3 linked regions of the Daphnia pulex genome follow. The main gene of each other region encodes a partner of the protein of the gene in region 3 in a complex. Links are inferred from orthologs where the notes say so. Each region holds a gene or a part of one and is shown on either strand. Other genes may lie near its edges.

Region 1 (5,450 bases), about 230 kb from region 3:
ACAGGACTTCGTTTGGGATGGATCTCATCAAAAAATTGTTCCATTAGGATATTGTTATAGACGGGAACTGGGCTGACTTTTCTTTCAGTCATTTTAAAATTTACTCTACTAACGAAAGATGATCACGTGTAAAAACTTGCTTTGGCTATAACAATTGAATGTTACCTGCAAGGCGAAATGATAAAACTAATAACTATCGATAGACCGGTTCAATATACAGTTAAATTAACAGCAATGCACTTACCAAAAGCAGAGAATTAACTTCAACGGTATTGTTGTTTCGAATCAACTTTCAAGAGGAAAAATTTGAAGGAAAAATATGTTACAGCGACTGCAGACGGACTAAAACGAATAAACAACGTTGCAATTTGATCTAGATGTTTAATTTAGGTGGATCATCAACATTTATCAACTAAAATACAAATAGAAAAATCTATTGCAATAATTATTTTAAAATAAAAATTCTTAAAAAAAAATAAATCACCGAGATTATGTTTGTCCCAAAACGATTAAAAATAAAACAGCAGACTATTTTACATCAGAAAGGCGAGTAGATCGAATGTATTTTCCACTTTGAATAAACATAAAATAACACAGAATTCACAAAGAATCAATCATTTGACACAGAACACGATCCTCCTCAGTACACCCATTCCCAGAAGTTTGGTTGCTTGCATTGCCTTCTGAAGGTTGAACCCGTTCAACATCTATAAGGAGCTTGATGTTGCCTTCAGTTGGTTCAGGAATTGTGTTGACAGCCTGCTGAACCAATTCCCAAGCTTTGTCAAAATGTCTTCTGAAACGCTCTGCAATTTCCAATCTTTGTCGTTTTTGTTGTTCTAGCATAACTCTAAGAGTTTCCCTTGCTTGATGAGGCCGAAATTCATTGACCAGATGATGCATGTGAATGAAAAGCAAAGTGAGGTCATCAATTTTTGTGGCTCTTGCTTCAGACTCTGGATTTCGTATGCAGATATCAACCAAGTCAAGGAAACTAGCAGTGATGGAGTGATTGAGCTTTTTCAGTTCTCTTCTGTGGTCATAGTTATTAGGGTACAGACGTCGTATATTCTGGAATAGTAAAACGAGTATTAAAGAAAGCTTTGATTAAGAAAAAACTTCTATCACCTGGCTTTCAAGAGGTCGGATCACAGCATCATCAGTATTATATGGATTACCAAACATGGAATAATTGTCTGTGATCGGAGGAGGTGGTCTCGGTGTTCTTCCTCTTTTAGCGTTTTCTTCATTAAAAAGACTGACATATTGCATCGGTGGCAAAGGTAATGAACTAACTTGAGCCGTTTCTGACATTTTTACTTTCCCACTGGAATGAAGCAATATAGTAATGTAAACAATATAGTTTGTTTTCAAGAATGAAGAATGTGACGTTTTCTAGTTCGTTTGCTTGGGGATTTCAGCAGACTATTTTTTGATCAATGTTCTCCTTTTTGTGGCTGTCCCGACACGCCATTCTTGAATGGAAACAAATTTGATTTAGAATGTTGTAAAAGAATTCAATTTTACATTAAATTGTCATTAAATCAATTAATCGTTGTTTATTTTTTTATTTTAAATGTATATTTCCTCGATTTTATCGCTAATTTTCGGAGGAAATTAAATCCGATAATAGTTGTCGGCAACTGCCGCTAGATCTGTCCGAGTTGCCAGTATTTAGAGAGGTTTGGAGAGCTTTTTCTTCGTCCTGCTTTCATTCTCTTCGTACCAGGGTCCAGGGAGAAAGACAATGAACGAAGTTATAACAGCTTTATCAAGTGGGGACTACTTTTTTGATTAGTGATCGTTTTGTAAGTATGTTTAAAAGCTCTGCCAAACCTCTTGCAGGTGAGGTAAAAAAGCAAGGCAATTTAGTGAAACGATCACAGAACAAGAAGAGGTTTAGTTTGATCAACTACAAGAGTCGATGGTTCGTCCTTACCACAAAGTTCCTCGCCTACTACGAGGGCGAATGCGAGGTAAGGTTTAGTTCTACTAAACACGCATGGACTGTGTTCGTGAATCCCTTCATCACTAATTCATCACAACCATCAATTCCAAACAACAGAATCGCAAAGGAAAAGAAAAGGGACGTGTCGACCTCCAAACAGTGAAAGTTGTGGAAGCTGTTGATCCAGCACCTGACACACCTGCCATCGGTCCATTGGCAAACCTTACAGGTTCCATTCCGAGTGATTTGAAGGGATCTCCTGCTTTTCAGATAGTGTACAATCCTTATGAGTGTAATGAAGGTTGTAGTGCAACAGACTTGACTCTTTGCATTTTCACTCCCACTCAGCAAGAAAGAGATATCTGGCTTTGGAATATCCGAGTTGGTGAGAACATTCTCTTTTGACGTCTCAAGTAGTTATGTGTGACAAATAGCAGTATTTATCTCACATGTTCATTTTATCTCATCTAATAATTTATTTTATTTTTCTCCTGATAGTGGTCAAAGACAGTGCTCCTCTTGTGAATGTGTATCACCCTGCCCTGTGGGGGAATAGAAGTTATCTTTGCTGTGGATCAACCCAAAGGTCCACGTCTAAGGCAATAAACGGTTGCCGTTCTGTAACTTGGGCTCCCAATACACTTCAACACATGGGCATCAATTTCAGTAACATCATCCACCATCCGTCTCCCTCACCAAGTCCTGTCGCTAAACCTGCGAATGGGGCTGAAGTCGAGGCGGCCATGGTCAAACCAACGGCGATTAAACCCACGACGGAAATTCATCCGGCAATCGTCGGGGATGTTGTTCCTGCATCCCCTTCCACTTCTCACAACGCCGTTGTTGCGTTAGGTACTATACCCGCTTATGTATCCTACTAAGTGCTAACTAATGATTTACACCCGTTCGTTGCCTGCAATACTTCTAGGAAACAGTAGTTGTACGACTTCTAAGTACATGAACAACAGTTAATGTTGAGTTATTTCGCATCAAATCCTTAGTCAAGGACTTTGGGAGGGAGGGGGATTTAAGCCAATAGAAGCACATTCTAAGAAACTGCGTCGTTGGAATAGATTCAATTTGTTTTCCTTGTAAAAAAAACTAAATGGATAAAGTTATTACATCCACTTCACTTGCGAAGCTAAATTATCGGATAGCTGAAAAGATCAACTAATTATTAGAAAACTAGAGAAGTGAGTGTTGCGTGTGGCGCTGCAGTGGTTTAGAGAAAGAAAACTTGTGTGAGATTGGTACTGGCAATATTCATGAAAATTTTCTCTATTGAAAAATGTTGGGGATTTGCGGTCGGTCGGAGAGAAGAAGACCTAGAGAATGCACACAAGCTTGTTTTTCCCCGAGATTTTTTTATTCCTTTCGGCGGTTTTTAGTTCTAGCCCTCTCCCTGTACTCAGTGGGCACTGACCGCGTCTCTCATAAATCACGTTTCTTTTTCTCTAATGACGAGAAGAGGACTGCACATCTCATCAAGTCCCGTGTGAGAGCGAAAGCAAACGACAAACTGGACTATTCCTACGCGAAAGTGTGGGAGAGATGATGAAGCCAGCACAGCACAGTCTCTCATATCTCTCAGAAAAACAGCCTACGTTTGTTTCATTCAGATACTGAAATAGTTACCTGTCAGTTCGATTAGTGTTGCGCTTGTGTTTACGAGATAAAAAATAACGTGAGAATTATTGATAAGCTTCCACCTGCTGCCTTGGTCCATTGTTCAAATCTATTTTGTTGTAGTGCAAGTTTTGCAGTCAGCTCGCCCCTACCTATTTTGTTTCTCTAGTTTCAATGCGTGTATGTAAGTTTTACGTACATGGCTGATGTTTCAGAGGTTTTAACGGGCAAATTATGCGCATTTTTGGTTGCCGCTGGCCTATTTGGTCCACAATGTCTTCGGATTCTCTCTCTTATAAGATCACCGAAAGTAAATTGACTCTAGGTATGGTTCGGCTTCACCGTGTTGTGTTGTTTTTTTCTCTCATCGGTTTTCTTCTCATGTTACTACCCTTGAGCAATCGAAAATCGCACAGGCTATTCACGTTGACTCCCACCTGAAAGTCACCTGTTGAATGACTCAACAGGTGTTCAATGCGTTAAGTTACAATCGTAAACCATCGCGGTGGGTCTTTATGTGCACTTGGGTTTGGCTTGCCTTCCGACAAATTTCTGGAATTCAATTTCTAATTTTAATCTGTTGTATTTGAATGCTTGCGAGGGCAATCATTTCTTATGCGGTTGTGTTGTATGGAAAATATTTACATTTGTGATTTATTGTTTTCTTCGGGATTTCCCTAGTCCCCTTGCAGAAAATCCAGTATGTGAGATTATACCACAACTTATCTGTTGTCCGTTAATTCCTGTTTTCTTGGTTTCAACGTTTGAAAGTAGTAGTAGCGATAGAAACTTGTCGACAGTCTTGTGTGGTTGCGTGTTTCAATTCCCTCGAGCGTATTCTAGTGCCGTGTGTGTGTAAAGTGAGTTGGATGTTGATTAGATTCAAATCGACGGGAGCTCGGCTGACCTCACCTCCTCTTTCGTCAGCCAGAAATGGTCCAGACTGGACGTTGCAAGTTTTTCCTTTTCTTTTTTGGGACTATTAGAATAACTATTAGAAAAGTAAAAACCCGTCCTTGTTTACGAGTTTCTGACACGCGTACAATTCAAAGGAGCGCGTTAAAGAGAAGGGGAGAAAGTTCCCTCCTCAATTTCTCATACCGGTATCGAGTCTGCTAGGAAAAGCCTTCCTTATATCCATTGTTCGCCTGTGGTTGAATAGAAGACGCAGCAACGATTTCTCCCACACTCGTTTCTCCCATTCTATCCTTTTTTCTCTCTCTCTCCCCTCTTTTTCTCTCTTCTATCCCATTTTTTTATTTTATTTTTAGTTGTGTTTTGTATCCATCTCCAAGCCCTTGAAACTCTTAGGTCGAAGACTACATATAGACGACAGGCCTATTTTGTATGCCAAGGACGGAAGGTTATTATACGGCTGTGTATGTGTGTGTGTGTGTCAGTACATCCGCCAAATAAGCCTTTGAAAAGAAGAAGAGGAACAAAAAGAACCCCCCTCTCCCCAGCTTCCCTTCTCCCAAGTTCGATGATAATTCAGCTCTACGATGAAAATTACCTTTCAAACCATAAGACACCCCCCATCGTCTCTTGTTCGCTATCGTTGTTCTCCATCTATGTTATTTATTTTCCTTTAAACCGCCACTCATCGTGCGCTTTATTCTTTTTTCACCATTAGGTTCTTCCATCCCGACTGAACCCGCTGTCGTGCCTAAGAAGGTATGCAGTCAAAACGAAAGATTGACCCTTATTCATGTCTTGTTTATTTGCAAAAAACTAATCGTCGCATTCTTTGTGTTTACCTTTTGGGATCTTCCGTCCAGGTTGTGGCCCTCTACCCATTCCAGGCTATCGAAAGCGGGGACATATCCTTAGAAAAGGTAATTGAACTCGGCACCCACATATTTTTGGTGGGACCTGT
Region 2 (5,483 bases), on a different chromosome or scaffold from region 3:
GGACAGACTTAAGTTCAACGCTGCTGAACTACGTCGTCGCCTAGAAGATTCGCAAGCTGCTTTACACGAACTCGGCCGAGAAAATCAGAGTCTTCAGGTATAAATAAAAAATCGACAAACATTTTCATTTATAAATTGACAAAATGGTTTTCTTCGTTACATCAGATGGAAAACGCCAAATTGCAGGGCCGAAAGTGGGCGGATGATTCCGAAGTGAATGATTGTCTGAGCTGCCAAAAAGGTTTTAATCTAACGGTTAGGAAACATCACTGCCGCAACTGCGGCCAAATCTTTTGCAACGAGTGTTCTAGTAAATCGACTGCCGTTGGTAATAGCCGGAAACCCGTCAGGGTTTGCGATTCATGCTTTAAGGAGTTGACTATAAACTCTCCGCGCTAAAATACTTATTATATTCCGTGTCGCCCTCCCCCCCTTTTTTAATGACGTTAATTATGAGTGTTTATGTTCAGTTTACGATGATTGAAGTGCTCCATTTGAGATATTATAAGGGAGGCGTGTTTGGTATTCTGATTTCAATATGAAATAAATGTGTATTTGGTCTAGTCCTATTATCTGTTGTATGGGTGCGCTTGGCTGGCCGCTTTGATGGTTGTCTTGATAGTACTTGTTGTTTTCCCTGGAGCCGGACCAGGCTGTGCGCGTCCTGGACCTTTATATTGAAGACGATGTGTTGGAATTTTTGCAATTTTAGAAGCAAAGCAAGCATAATTAACTCACCAGGTTGAGTTGGAGCAGCTGTAGGAAGGGTTTTAAGGTTCTTGCCCAATCCCACAGCAGCAATCAGAGCGTGCGTATCGGCTATAATACAAGTGTGGGCTGCATTTGCTCGGACAGTAGCTTCATTTTCCCAATCTTCTCTTGAATGTGTTATTTGCTCCAAAACATGATTGACCACTTTATTCATTGCATTGATTTGCTTTTGTGCTGTCTCTGGTGGAACCTTTAACAATAAAGAAGTTGTAAGATTTTATGTTATTATTTCTGTTAAAAGTATTCTTACCTGTAGAGCACGTTGTTCAAATTGATTTTGACGTTGTTCCACATCTGGATCAGGTTTTGTTCTCAGCATATCAGGTGTTATGTCATGTGAAAAGGCCACAACACGCCCTTCTGTTGCTTGTTTGAGCTCTACAAATAAATGTTTGATGATAATCACTCATACCAGCAAGTATGCATAGTAAGTGCAACTTTACCCTCATCTGGATCAGGGCTCAAAACTAGAGGTAAAACTATGAGGTTTCTCAAAAGTGGAGTTTTATCATTCTTCATAACTTTCAGCAATGTATTCATCTGGTTTGACGATTTAAAATTAGTCTGAATTACTTGCTAATGTCTTAAGCATAATTTACCTGGCCAGATATAACGGCGTAGCTATCCAAAACAGAAGGCCAACTGAGGGATCCATATTCATTTTCCAAACGAAATAACAGAGTTCGGATAGAAGTCTTTAGGTCATTAATTCGCTGAAGCAAAGCTTCCAAAGCGGCTTCCTGATTTGAACGTTTTTTGTAAGTTTGGGATGAAAATTTACCTCAATTCTTAAATTATATAATTACCAGCTGTTTCTCTTCACGCTGCATCTTGGTTATAAATTATGAGAAAGCTCTTTTAAGTTTTAATTCACATAAACTGATGTGATGCTTTTGTAGCTTGCTGCTTGCTAGCTTCAACCAAATGTCAATCACAAAAATGTCGTCTGCGTTTGTTGCATAAGCCCTCTAGTGTCAAATTATCAAGACTTAGCCATTCCGTTGGTTCGTCTGCTTGAGAAATTATTTGTTCAAGTTCTCATTATCATTTAGGTCGAGTAAAATAGTTTTTCCCATAATAAAATGCCGTTTATGAAAGGTCCTGCTCCGATCCGAAGAACTTTGGAGTATTTAGACCGAAATAAGTTGGTGTTAAAGGATAGAGTCAAGATATTTTCGATCAACTACAACACAAAAGGTGAAAATCACGAAGGTGCCCGACAATTCGTGTTTTGGCACTTGCCTCAGTTACAGTACAAAAACCCCAATATTCAGATAGCTACCTTCAAGAACTTGACTCCTAGTCCATTTATACGGTGTTATTTAGGTAACTAAAAAAATATTACATTTTTTTCAAATAAGTAACAAATTTCATGTTCAGAAAACGGGGAAGAGGTTCTAATGGATGTTGATTTCAAGTCAAAAGATGAGATCTATGAAAGAGTACGCAGGATTATTTGCAAATCAGAGTAAGTTGTTGAAACAATTATGTAAGATTAAATGCCAAATAATTATTAATTGATTGATATCTAGAGAAACACTGAAAGCTGAGGATAAAATAGAAAACCCAGCTAATTTTGGAGCTAAATGCAGCAGACATTGCATCTGTGAGGTACCTGGTCAGTTACCTTGCCCAGCTCTTATTCCTTTGCCAAATAGTTGGAGAGGAAAGTACAAGTTTCAAAAGCCAGATGAATTATAAATGAATTACAATTGCCCCACAATGTAGTCAAATAAAAAAAAATTTTTGAGAATATTATGCAATTCTGCTTTTATTATTAAACTGTTTGACAATTAACGTAGTTATTGCATTTGAGGAGCCATTAAGTCCATGTCGACACACTCGCGTGCAATCTTTACTCCCAAGGCGAACAAAGCCACGCTCTTCACCAACGACCTAAGATAAAAAAAGATTCTCTTAGTGAGTGTTTCATAAGTTAATGGGATTATATAAAACTTACCATCTGAAAGGGTCGTTGTAAAAACTTTTAATGAACTGCATTTTACCAGCTTTTTTGTTTGATCTTTCCATAGCAGCTTTTAAGATTTACTTTGGTTGTGATAAGCTTGAGAGTTGAAGCAGACGGTTTTTCTGATTATCGACATTGCGAAGTATGCATTACGCAAATAATTGATAAAAACTACTTGGAACTAGAACCAGAAAATTTAATCATTTTGCAAGTGTTAAATTAAATTGTATCCATAATGTTAAAAATAATATGATATCAATATTGTTGAATAATTTTTTTTGTTGTTGCGAGAATCGTTCCTCCTTTGTTTCTCGATCGTGTGATGTCTGCTTCTGTCAATTCTCGGCTTCTCGCGGTCGTCTGAAAAGTGAAAAATGAATTAGCCCCTCGAATAGCTAGTTGTTGTTGATTCCGAATTTGACAAAATGGACTTAATAGAAAATATGACATTTCGAACACCAAAACAAAAAGCTTTGGTGTTACAACTTTATAAAGATCTTAAATTCGGTATAATGTTTGTTAATATTCTGTTGTTGAATTTTCTTTTCTCATAAACTGTTTTAGTTAGGGGGAACGAAGATGTGAAGATACATCAGTGTGATGAGTTGGATTTAGTGTACATTACAGGATACTTGCCTGATGCTGAGAGACAACAGGAAATCTTTTTGCCATTAGCTGCAGATGAAGCAATTTCAATGAAAAAAATAGGAGAAGTTCAAAAATGTCTGTTTCATCGACACAAATCATCAAGGTAAATTATTGTTTCATCTAAGGCTGCTCAGGTTTAAACAATCAGATTAATTATTGTATTTGATTCACTTAAAGACTGACTTTGGCACTAATGGATTCTGATTCCACTACTGTTTATTTTGGTGTAACACCTGGCTTATTACCTCCATCAGATTTGGAGGGTAGGAAATAAATTGATTACTCATCACATAATGAAGACAAGAATTTATTTTTTATTTAATAAATCAACAATTTTACTAGTCAAATACTGCCCATGCCTCATCTACTCCCTTCTTAACCTTTTCATCAACAACTTGCTTAAGTTGGTCATCACTGACTGAGTGAGCCCAAACTGGAATAGCTGTACTTGGGAGAGTTACTTTTGACATTATTGATTTTATAGTTTCAATCTGTGTTGTGTCAAGTGGAATGCTAGGTTTATCATTTGGTGTAACAGCAGGAGCAGATGTTGGATTTTCTATTGTAACAAGGTTGTGATAGTTATGGCTTGTTCTGATCTGGAATTCTTGTCCATCATAAGTGCTGTATCCAAATTCCACACAATCATCATCTTCCTCTTCACAGAGGGAAGTAGGGAGAAGTTCATATCCATTCTCTCCTATTTGTTGCTCTTCAGCAGCAGTGTCTTCTATTTCTGTCAGATCTCTGCAAAAAAAAAAACAATTTTAACTTGTTAAAAATATTTTCCAGTGTTAAATTTGGACAGAATAAAAAAATGGACCTTTCGTTAAAATCACTGTTAAACTCATCGTGAACAGAGTTATTTTCGTCTATGTTATCAGGCAAACGACCAGAATCTGGTTCAGGAGAATTTCCCGTCATTTCCTTTTGAACACAAACTGTATAAAGCGAAAACTCACAAATTTATCAATCAGAAGACTGTAGACTCCCACAAACAATGTCCAAAACAACGACAATTGCAAGCCAGTGACAGCTCACAGCTGATTATATATCGACGATTTTTAAATGTTATTTTGCGATTGTTAAGCAGAAGCAGACGAAATTTACTTATTTACAACACAATAAATTTAAATGAAAAGTAGGCCTAGTCAGAATTTTTCTTAAAAAATTATTATTTACCACAGTTTATTTGACGATTAATTTAATAAAATTCTGCATATTTTGTTGCAGTCCTCTTTTTGGCGGTTGTCAAAGAGGGTAATTATGACAATTTTGTTTCTAGGAGTCTTGTATAGAAAACTTTCAAATCACACTCACAGCATCGTGTCGCCCAGTCTCATCTCTAGAATGCATTCCATGTCATTTATTACAGCCCCAAACGAAGAAGTGGCCAAAACTATTGCCCGGTTTGTTCACTTTAAATTGCTTTTTATTAATCTACAATAATAACAAAATAACATTTCTAATTGACAGAGGTCTTGTTTCTGAAAAACTGGCTGCTTGTGTCAACATAATTCCAAAGATCACATCTGTGTAAGATTTTTGAAATACAGTTACATTTTCTTTACATTCATGATGATTTTTATATCCATATTTTTTTATTCAGGTACAGTTGGGAAGGAAAAGTTAATGAAGATTCAGAAGTCTTGATGGTAACAGTAGAAATATTAATTTTATTAATTTTATTTGAAATCAAAACTATACATCATTTTCTTAAAAAAAGATGGTGAAAACCAGAACTTCGAGACTACCAGAGCTAACAGAATATGTCAAGTAATTGTTCATGTAAAGCAATCTTATTGAACTAGATGAAAGATTTTTTTTATACATTCCACAATTCAGAAAGAACCATCCTTATGAAGTTTGTGAAGTAATTTCCACTGAGGTAGACTTTACAGACAAATCACAGAACATGTTTTCCTACATGTAAATGACCCTTTCCTATGTAAATAAGGTATATATTTCATTTTTAGATCTTACAAGGGAACAAACCATATTTGGATTGGATTTTAGAATCTGTACCTGAAAAGGCCGAGTAAATACTATTGTCATTAGGTAAAGTTATAAAGAAAAAATAAATGATTCATGAATT
Region 3 (8,347 bases):
AAAGGACAAAAGGAGCATCAAGTCCTTGGCCAACGACTGTCGAGAAATGGAAGAGATGCAATGGTGAACAGGGGTACGTATATGTGGAAAGCTGTGGACCGCTTAACAGTTCGACGATTCGGTCATACAAGACCGACCAATACGACTCCGGCAAGTATGTCAGAAGAAGGCCAACAGCATTCACCCAAGATTCTAATGGTGTTGCTTCCGAAACTGGCAAAAGATTGTATCCTTGTAAGACGACATCCATCAATGCATTGGCTACGATTGCAGGTGAAGCAGGAAGTGCCAAGAGCTCAACAGCTGTAACATAAAGGGCATGGCAGCTAGCATTCGGGAATTCATTAAAACGCCAGTCCATTGCCGGAAAGGGAAACGGAGAACGTCCTGCAGTAGTGTCAACAAGGCGCCCAACTAACTTGACATAATAATCCAATTCTGGCAGCCAATTCAAATCATCAGCTTGACGAGTGCTATAGTTTAAGTACGACTCGGATAAAGCCCACCCAGGAGGTCTGACATCTTTAAGAGAGCCCATGATGGAGGAAACCAGTTTTCGTTTTAGTAGTGGCCTGTCTCGCAGTTTACGCTCATAGTAATGCAACGTTGTGTAAAGGTAAGTGACTGGTCGATCGTGAAATTTGTACAAGCAGCCTAGGTGTTCTAGGATGGTTTCGAGCGATTTGGTTACTGGTGGAATCTCAGTGAAACGATGAATAGTGATGTCGAAAACGGGAAGGAAACGGAGGCAAACGTTACCAAAGTAAGTAGGGAGAGATTGGTAAGAGCCACCCTGGCCAATGCTTTCAAGCACCGATTCGGGAGGTCCAAAGCGTTCTGGAAACTTTCGCTGGAAAGCTAAATGCTTTTCGTGCCAATTGTTTTGACGCCAGTGCTCGGACGAATTATCTTTGACGAAATCTTGAACACGCGAACGGAACTGCGGTGTTTTTAGAAGCAGCAATTGAATGATGAAACAGCAAACTTGGGCTTCGTTACCTTCCAGGGGACGCCTAGTAATGAACAGCTCGTTAATTAAGAAAACTAGATTCACTATGCATTATAAATACTCACAAGGCCAGACAGAGAACGAGTCGCTCAATAGTCACGACGTTATATTGCCACACCATTTCGTTAAGCACGTCAATGCACTTGTTAACGTGTTGACCTTTGCCAGAATTGGCAAATTCATAAACCAAGAAGTCGCAGAATGTACGCAGGTGGCTGCCCAAACCTCTGGCGCCTATGCGTTCGATGCACTTGTAAGCTACGGGATTGATACGTTCCGTTTCAAGAAGTTGCTTCCACAACAAGCAAAGGAAAAATGGCGGATTGTTTGATTGTGGGGCAAAGTGAGCCGGCCAATCGTCTGGATTCATGGTCAATACTTTTCGGTGCTCTTCTTCGATATTTTGCTTCAACTGCTGCTTTGATTCCTTGACTGGTTGATTCGCTGCCTGTCCGAAGAACTCGGCTAGGGGTGGAGGAAAGCAGTCGCGTGTGTTACTGGACCAGCTATGAGGCGTCTGTTGCTGTATTAAAGTTAGCAGATCCTTGTACCAGCTGCTATGTTGCGTTTCACATCCAGCGACGCTGATTACTCGAGCAAGCGTTAGGATGAGCGCTCTGTTGAGTTCTTCCGAATCGCTTGAGAAGAGTGGTTTAATATCGGCAGCTGATCGCGAATAACTGTTAAAATAATGGATAATTAAACCAGAAATTAAGTTGTTGCTTTTGAAGGGTTCCAAATTATTACCAAGGTTGCATTTCTGCTGCACCAAGTAATCCTATAAGCCTCAAGGCCGCATTTTCAACACATAGTGTCAGCTGTGTTTGATGCTGTTGTGGCACTGCGCACGAATGCAACAGAGTTAACAGCTGTATGCGATATTGTGGTTGCATGTGGTGAACACGAAAAGTGAACATTTCCACCAGGGTATGGAAGATACCCCACGCTTGTGATTTCGAAACGCTAGTCATCACTTGCGTGATGAAGCCCTTGATACCTAACGACTCTATCTCAGTGTAGACCAATAGGCGGCTGTACGTTTCAACGAGGGCCGGAGCTAAAGGAACGTTCATTTTTGTTTGTGCGCATTTGATAACGTGCGTCACAATACTGAACAAAGAAAATGATAAGAAATTAATAAAGAAAACCTTAAAACTGTAAAGCATGTGAAGTGATTACCTATGAATGAGCGACATTTTAGCATGCACAGTCAGTGCGTCTAAAAAGGCCAGCGGAATGGGTGAAATGGGTCCTGTATTTGGCATACCACCAGCGCTTCCTCCTGCGTTCCCAGAACCTTTTTGGCTTAGGTTTCCGTGCAACGATTCCATTAGCGAACCCATAGGGCGAGCCAAACAGTCTAACGTCGTGGAGAATGCATTGCAAAGCAGAGCTACCCTGTAGTCCCCAGAAGGAGCACTGCTTGGGGGATTAAGAGCATTATGCTGTAGAAATTCTTGGTGATTTTTAAGTGCCTGAGGAAAATGTCTCTGAAGCAGAGTCGTAAAAGCTCGAGAATCCGTTTTCCCTCCAGTTGGGGCCGCAGGAGAAGGATTGGTGCCGGTAGCTCCGGCAGTCGACGCGGCCGCAGCAGCTGCAGCAATTTCTTTCTGGGCGTTTTGTTGTTCTGTCTGGGCTTTCTTGACAATATGTATCCATATACATGCAACGGCCATTTGATGTACGCAGATAGGTCGAGTGTAGTCCGGAACAGGCAAAGGTTCACGCTCAGGATAGAGTAGATCGTACAGCCGCAAAAGAGGCAAGAATTCGGCCAGAGGATTCTTCTGGATGCTGCCAGATATGTACTGGAGAAGAACCCACATTAATTGATCGCGCCCTTTGCGTAGTTTTCGTTCTGCCAATTTCTCGTGCAATAACGTGACTAGATGGGAAAATGAGGCGAACTGGAAAAGAACAAAGTAAATGATTTGGCTGGATAAGTGGTGCCAGAGCCAATGAGAAACGCCCAACTCGTCGGCGGCATCTGAATCCTGTTCAGGGGCGATTTCTGCACGTTCCATAGCTTGCACCAGTAGTTCTACAAGTTGTTCTTCCAATACTGCATGTCTCTGCTTGTGTTGCTTTTGTAAGCCCAGCATTCCACAAAGTACTTCACGGGAGTAGGGCTGCTCCAAAACGTACCGGATCAAGCGGGTCTGTGGCTCCGTATACTCTTTTTCATAGGGTAAATTCCCTTTCAAAGCAAGTTTGAGTGTACCCTGTTCCAGTTTCCAACTGTGGTGGACACCATGGGCAGAGGGGTCAACCACAGGGAACATCAAAGGTCTGCCAATAGGAGAGAGCATTTGCACCAAAGGGCGAAAGCTATCCACAACTTCTGATAATAGACCAGCCAATTTCCAATGAGGCCAGTCTTTGTTTTCTGGATACATTTTTCTTATTTCATTCACGATGAAATAGGCTGGCAATAGACAGACTTGGCGGTCTAGAATGTGTTTCAAAGTATGCTCCAATGCTGTTACATTTGGATATTCTGATGTTGAAAATCGGCTTGGCAAGAGTTGTGCCTTTTCCAGGCATGTTTTCATTATTTCTCGTACTCCTTTGTAATCCACATGACACACAATTTTCCTGATGAGTGAGAAGCTTCCCTGCCATAAAAGTGGATTTGCAGGAGTAAGCTTCTCATTGCCCAAAAGTGAGTCACATACTTTCCTATTGAAATAAAGGAATAAAAAGTGATACAGAAGGACATTACAATACATGAAATTGAATCTTTTACCGGGATGTTGCAATATTTGTGTTTACTACACTTTCCAGAAGTTTAAATAATATTTTTGAGTGTGAATCACTACTGACCCCAGAAATGACAGCAATAAACTGAGGCAAAATAGCATCTTGTGATTCAGCCTGAGAGTCATTCATCATCGCTATCAAATCTTTTTCCAAGGCACTATATTTAACTCCCTCATCCTTGCGTTGGATCAGGAAATCATTAAAAGCTTCTTCAATGGCATCAACTTTCTGTAATTTGACTCAAGCATTAGTATATTAGTTTTATTTTTCATTTGAAAAGATTATCATACCAATGCTTCCGAAACCAACGCTTGTACTTTACTTCCGTCCAATGCCATTTTTAGGCCGACTTTAAAAAGTAAAGTCACGCTTTACTGATATCAGTTGAAGATTTGATTCACAGGATAAACTTAATTGCAGCCAGACCTTTTAAAACATAAAGAAGTCAACAATGGGAGAAGATCAGAATACCGGTCGTGAATCTTTCAAGAAAAATATCGAAGTGCCAAACGTTGATGCGAACGCCATCTATCAATAATATCTAAACATTTGGAAATATTCAAACTCGCCGCTAATAAATGGGGAAAAATCTCGAACATCGAAGAACTGGAAACGATGCAAAAAAAAACAGCAATTAGGAAAAGAGAACAAGGGGACAAGAGTTCAATCAATTTGATAATAATCTCTCGTCATGGTCCCTTGTTTCTGTTTCATTCTTTCAGCTCCTGACCAGCAGACAAGAGTGTCGTGAGCTACTTCAATCCCCATTATTTAGCTATATGACTACTATGATTCATAAAATATTTTGATCTGAATTTAGACAATGATTTGATGAATTGCAAAATGGCAAAACCTTAGCACCCGGAAGGACGAAATCTAAAAATGTCTTATTTTCAAACATGAATTTTTAACTAAATAATAGAAAGAACACACGGAAACAACGATTTCCTTACAAGAAGAGTCCTTTTTGTAGCTAAAAACGAGTTTGACAGAGCGCTAAAGGCGTTTCAACCTGACGACAACCGATTGATAGAATGTGACTGAGTTGCTTTAAAGGAAGACTAGTATTAAAGGATAGTAGCCAAGCCCAGTAAGCTTTACACATTCGTTACAGTTACAGTATTTCTTATGTAATTCTTCTTTTCATTTGTCCATAATTACTGATCCTGTGGATGAACTTAAAAATGCATTCAGCAGCTGTATCAATGGTAATCTGATTACAACAATTTTCTTCTCGTCAAGTGTGGATTTTTCGATTCTTTCCTTATTAGAATCGTTTAAGCTTTGTTCTGCTTCTCGTCGCACTTACCTTGATTGTTCTGGTGAGCAGCAGCCCATCAGGTGTTCAAGGAGGTAAATAAATTCTTTCCTAAAGCCAGTAAGTAAATTTACCATTTAATTTATTAAATTATAGTTCGACAAGAAATCTCACAACAAACTGACCGGCCACAGTGTGTCTGTAGTAGACAATGGGCCCCAGTTTGCGGAACAGATGGGAAAACCTACGAAAACGAAGGATGTTTGAGAGTTCAAACTACGAAATGCGGAACTGAGCAATCGTTGGTTAGTGAGGCTTATGAAGGTGAATGTCAACAATCAAATTTAGCTGCGATTGGTGAACAACTTTGTACCTGCATCTTCGTGTGTTCCATCTGTGTGAATCTCTTTGTAAATTTTCGGAAAATTTGAATCTAGAAAAATGTGTAGGCTAATTAAATTGATACTAGATTTCTTTACGACATTCTCTACCTAATTTATTTGTTGCCGTTTCTTTCCATTGCAAACCATTGTCTTGCGCTGTTTTTTTTCCGAGAATTCTGTTACAATTTAATTCGCGGTACTCATAAATAATTTATTACGACAGCTTACACTTGCTCGTTAAGTGAAAGAACTTTTCGTGAAAGCTCAAACTCTGGACACGAACAAAGACGACTTGATATCCTAAAACCTGTTTAACAGGTTAAGTTAACTAATTAATTAGTATTTCCCAAACTATACTCTTCAGCGCCAGCATTTCACTTAGATTTATTTAACAACATTTATTTCACAACTAAAATATTCTTCTGCTGTTCTAGGACAACTTCGTTTTACCTGCCTGTGTGTAGTAGATTAATGTACACTACGATACTTTGTAGCGTGCTTTTTGGCGTTGTTATTGTGGTGACTATGTACGTTGGAAAGTTGCGTTGACCAAAACAAGTTGCACGAAATAAAACCTGCATGGAGAACCGTTTAGTTTGTTCGTCGTCAAATTCCTCCTTGCGAGTTGCGTGAGAGTATGCACTAGCAATCTCAAATCTAAACAGAAAACCGGTTTACATGTTTGTAGCCGCTAGCACTGGGCGTTTCAAATACTTTTACGACACTGGTTAAAGCTACATATACCAAATTCGCTTGGATAGTAACAAATCAGTTTCTTACAGTTTTGTCCAACATTCACATCATATACTCTGTAAAAAGGAATCCGAAAATAAACGGTCACCAAATTGAAATGGTATTATTCTTTAACACGCAATATGTACCTCCCCCAAAAGTGGCAATGTAATTGTGTACATACTTAATTATTTTTGTACGAAATTTCCGTCATAGAACCGATTCAGCGCAGCTCTTCTTCTCATCTCACTTGTTACTTTGATTTTGATTAGCTCTGGCGTCCAAGGAAGTATGAAATTACGCTCACATATTAATTTTTGTATAGATAAATAACTGTTATGTCATGTTATTTCTCAGTTCCACAAGACCAGGATCCTAGCTGCAACTGCAAGAAAAATTACGCCCCAGTATGTGGAACAGACGGGAAAACTTACTCTAACGAATGCGTATTGAGTGTCGAGACTAAAGGTATATGTGGAAAGACTAAGTCGTCCATCACAAAGGCTTATGACGGTGCATGCAAAGAAGCGAGCCCATAAAATGGCGGAGACAAATTATTTTCATTAAATAGTAACTCCAAAATTATAGTGATCCCCTCTTATTCATTATTGATTTCAAATACGAACAATGTTTTAGTACGTTTTCGTCACGCTATTTTATTATGATGACCAGTGGGCTTTTATATACTTGTGCTATTTGCTGTGCAATCCCACTCATTGTATACAGGCTTTTAAATACATCTAAAATTATATTGATTAATTTACATGACTGAGATGAGATTTTACTTCACATTCCATACCATATGTCTAACCTACGCATACCAAGAGCAAGAAAATCGAACGCTTTAGTTTAAATGCGAGGGTGATATCCGTTGAATGATGGGTGCATATTTAAGCGATCCTAGATACGTAGTTTCATTCATTTTTGAATCCACTAAATCTTTACAAAATGGCCGCGTAATATGTAGCCTACTGCGTAGTAGAATATAACTCGGTATGCAACCCGCGGGAACAAAGGATTTTGACAGAGGAAAATAGAGCAGGTTACAATGTTAAAAACATCATTGTTTTATGATTCAACAAAAGAATATACTTCCGCTTCATTCTTTCCATCAGTTTGTAGGTAATATGACGTATTCGTCGCGCCATTGAAATCAATAATGTTCTAAACATTAAGGCCTATTGGTTGTCTTTTTTCTCCGAAACGGAACTGAAAAACGGGGGTTATTATTTAAAAAAAAAACGTATGTTGTAACTAAAATGTGGAAATTGTTCCCTTGGATTTTCCCAACATGGAGATATTTAGAAATAATCCCCTTTGGCGCTGGGCGTTTGCAGTCTACAAAATCCTGATGAATCGAGGCACTACAGACGTATAACATAAACAGCAGTACTATATAAAGGTGTCCGTCGATAGACAACATTTTCAGATTTAAAACTTCCTTCGCTCTCCATCGACTCAAACATTTTTCTCTTGAAATGCTTCAGTTCTACTCAAAGGTAAATTATATTATTATTTTTGTAATTATCGGAGTTTGTGCAGACTCTTAAGATAACCAAGATTTTCATTCTTCCAACAATCTAGAATTTCTCATGCTCGTCTCTGTTCCTCATATTTTTCGCCTTAAGCATCGTGATAAGCTACGGACCCGGCGCTTGCGGAGGTGTGCATTTGCTAAAAGTAATACATCATATTTTTGAACTAATAACATTTGCGACTATTTAATTCATGTAGCGGGGATCGGCCGAAAAGCAATCTGTGTCTGCACGTTGCAGTACGAGCCAGTTTGCGCCACAGACGGGAAAACTTACGGCAACCTATGTGCTCTGGAGTGCGACAAAAAGAGCAAAGCTTACGATGGCGAATGTAAATCAACGAAGACAGTCAAGAGAGCGGCGGCTGAGTGTGGATGTCAATTCAAATTCGCCCCCGTTTGCGGAACAGACGGCAAAACCTACGACAACGAGAACTGCATGGAAGTTGAAGTCACTCAATGTGGAACTGTCATCGATTCACCCATCAGGAAGGCTCACGACGGCGAATGTAAAACAACACCCATCAAAGTATCCGAAACACAATGTGGGTGCCCGGACAACTTTGCTCCAGTTTGCGGGACTGACGGAAAGACTTACCCCAATGCGGTATGCATGATCAACACACTCACCAAATGTGGGACCATCAAAACAACTGTAACTATCGCTCGCA

Evidence for each region.
Region 1: mediator of RNA polymerase II transcription subunit 23-like (region 3) and mediator of RNA polymerase II transcription subunit 7-like share a complex: the UniProt entries of both Homo sapiens proteins name them as parts of the mediator complex. The link is inferred for Daphnia pulex from reciprocal best matches to the Homo sapiens genes MED23 and MED7.
Region 2: mediator of RNA polymerase II transcription subunit 23-like (region 3) and mediator of RNA polymerase II transcription subunit 8-like share a complex: the UniProt entries of both Homo sapiens proteins name them as parts of the mediator complex. The link is inferred for Daphnia pulex from reciprocal best matches to the Homo sapiens genes MED23 and MED8.

What each region holds. Positions count from the first base shown.
Region 1 is NC_060019.1:10,644,978-10,650,427, reverse strand, and holds mediator of RNA polymerase II transcription subunit 7-like, read right to left. Parts: upstream 1,451-5,450; 5' UTR 1,315-1,450; coding exon 1,129-1,314; intron 1,072-1,128; coding exon 601-1,071; 3' UTR 532-600; downstream 1-531. Other genes in the region: tyrosine-protein kinase Btk29A-like, read left to right, coding at 1,815-1,976, 2,066-2,333, 2,447-2,800, 5,208-5,248, 5,353-5,409. UniProt on the Homo sapiens protein: Component of the Mediator complex, a coactivator involved in the regulated transcription of nearly all RNA polymerase II-dependent genes.
Region 2 is NC_060023.1:11,384,563-11,390,045, reverse strand, and holds mediator of RNA polymerase II transcription subunit 8-like, read right to left. Parts: upstream 1,740-5,483; 5' UTR 1,602-1,739; coding exon 1,578-1,601; intron 1,512-1,577; coding exon 1,371-1,511; intron 1,312-1,370; coding exon 1,215-1,311; intron 1,150-1,214; coding exon 1,022-1,149; intron 962-1,021; coding exon 739-961; intron 671-738; coding exon 570-670; 3' UTR 532-569; downstream 1-531. Other genes in the region: early endosome antigen 1-like, read left to right, coding at 1-97, 166-399; probable 28S ribosomal protein S25, mitochondrial, read left to right, coding at 1,854-2,097, 2,152-2,239, 2,304-2,472; male-enhanced antigen 1-like, read right to left, coding at 3,727-4,135, 4,212-4,312; protein CutA homolog, read left to right, coding at 3,166-3,247, 3,305-3,491, 3,566-3,651, 4,674-4,797, 4,865-4,924, 4,998-5,043, 5,115-5,164, 5,234-5,276 and 1 more. UniProt on the Homo sapiens protein: Component of the Mediator complex, a coactivator involved in the regulated transcription of nearly all RNA polymerase II-dependent genes.
Region 3 is NC_060019.1:10,878,334-10,886,680, forward strand, and holds part of mediator of RNA polymerase II transcription subunit 23-like, read right to left. Parts: coding exon of another isoform or gene 7,877-8,347; intron 7,806-7,876; coding exon of another isoform or gene 7,727-7,805; intron 7,642-7,726; coding exon of another isoform or gene 7,545-7,641; intron 6,814-7,544; coding exon of another isoform or gene 6,779-6,813; intron 6,679-6,778; coding exon of another isoform or gene 6,500-6,678; intron 6,432-6,499; coding exon of another isoform or gene 6,359-6,431; intron 6,264-6,358; coding exon of another isoform or gene 6,261-6,263; exon of another isoform or gene 6,105-6,260; intron 5,266-6,104; exon of another isoform or gene 5,184-5,265; intron 5,140-5,183; exon of another isoform or gene 5,041-5,139; intron 4,978-5,040; exon of another isoform or gene 4,680-4,977; intron 4,196-4,679; 5' UTR 4,108-4,195; coding exon 4,060-4,107; intron 3,998-4,059; coding exon 3,756-3,997; intron 3,689-3,755; coding exon 2,189-3,688; intron 2,120-2,188; coding exon 1,757-2,119; intron 1,690-1,756; coding exon 1,075-1,689; intron 1,014-1,074; coding exon 1-1,013. Other genes in the region: ovoinhibitor-like, read left to right, coding at 6,261-6,263, 6,359-6,431, 6,500-6,678, 6,779-6,813, 7,545-7,641, 7,727-7,805, 7,877-8,347. UniProt on the Homo sapiens protein: Required for transcriptional activation subsequent to the assembly of the pre-initiation complex. Component of the Mediator complex, a coactivator involved in the regulated transcription of nearly all RNA polymerase II-dependent genes.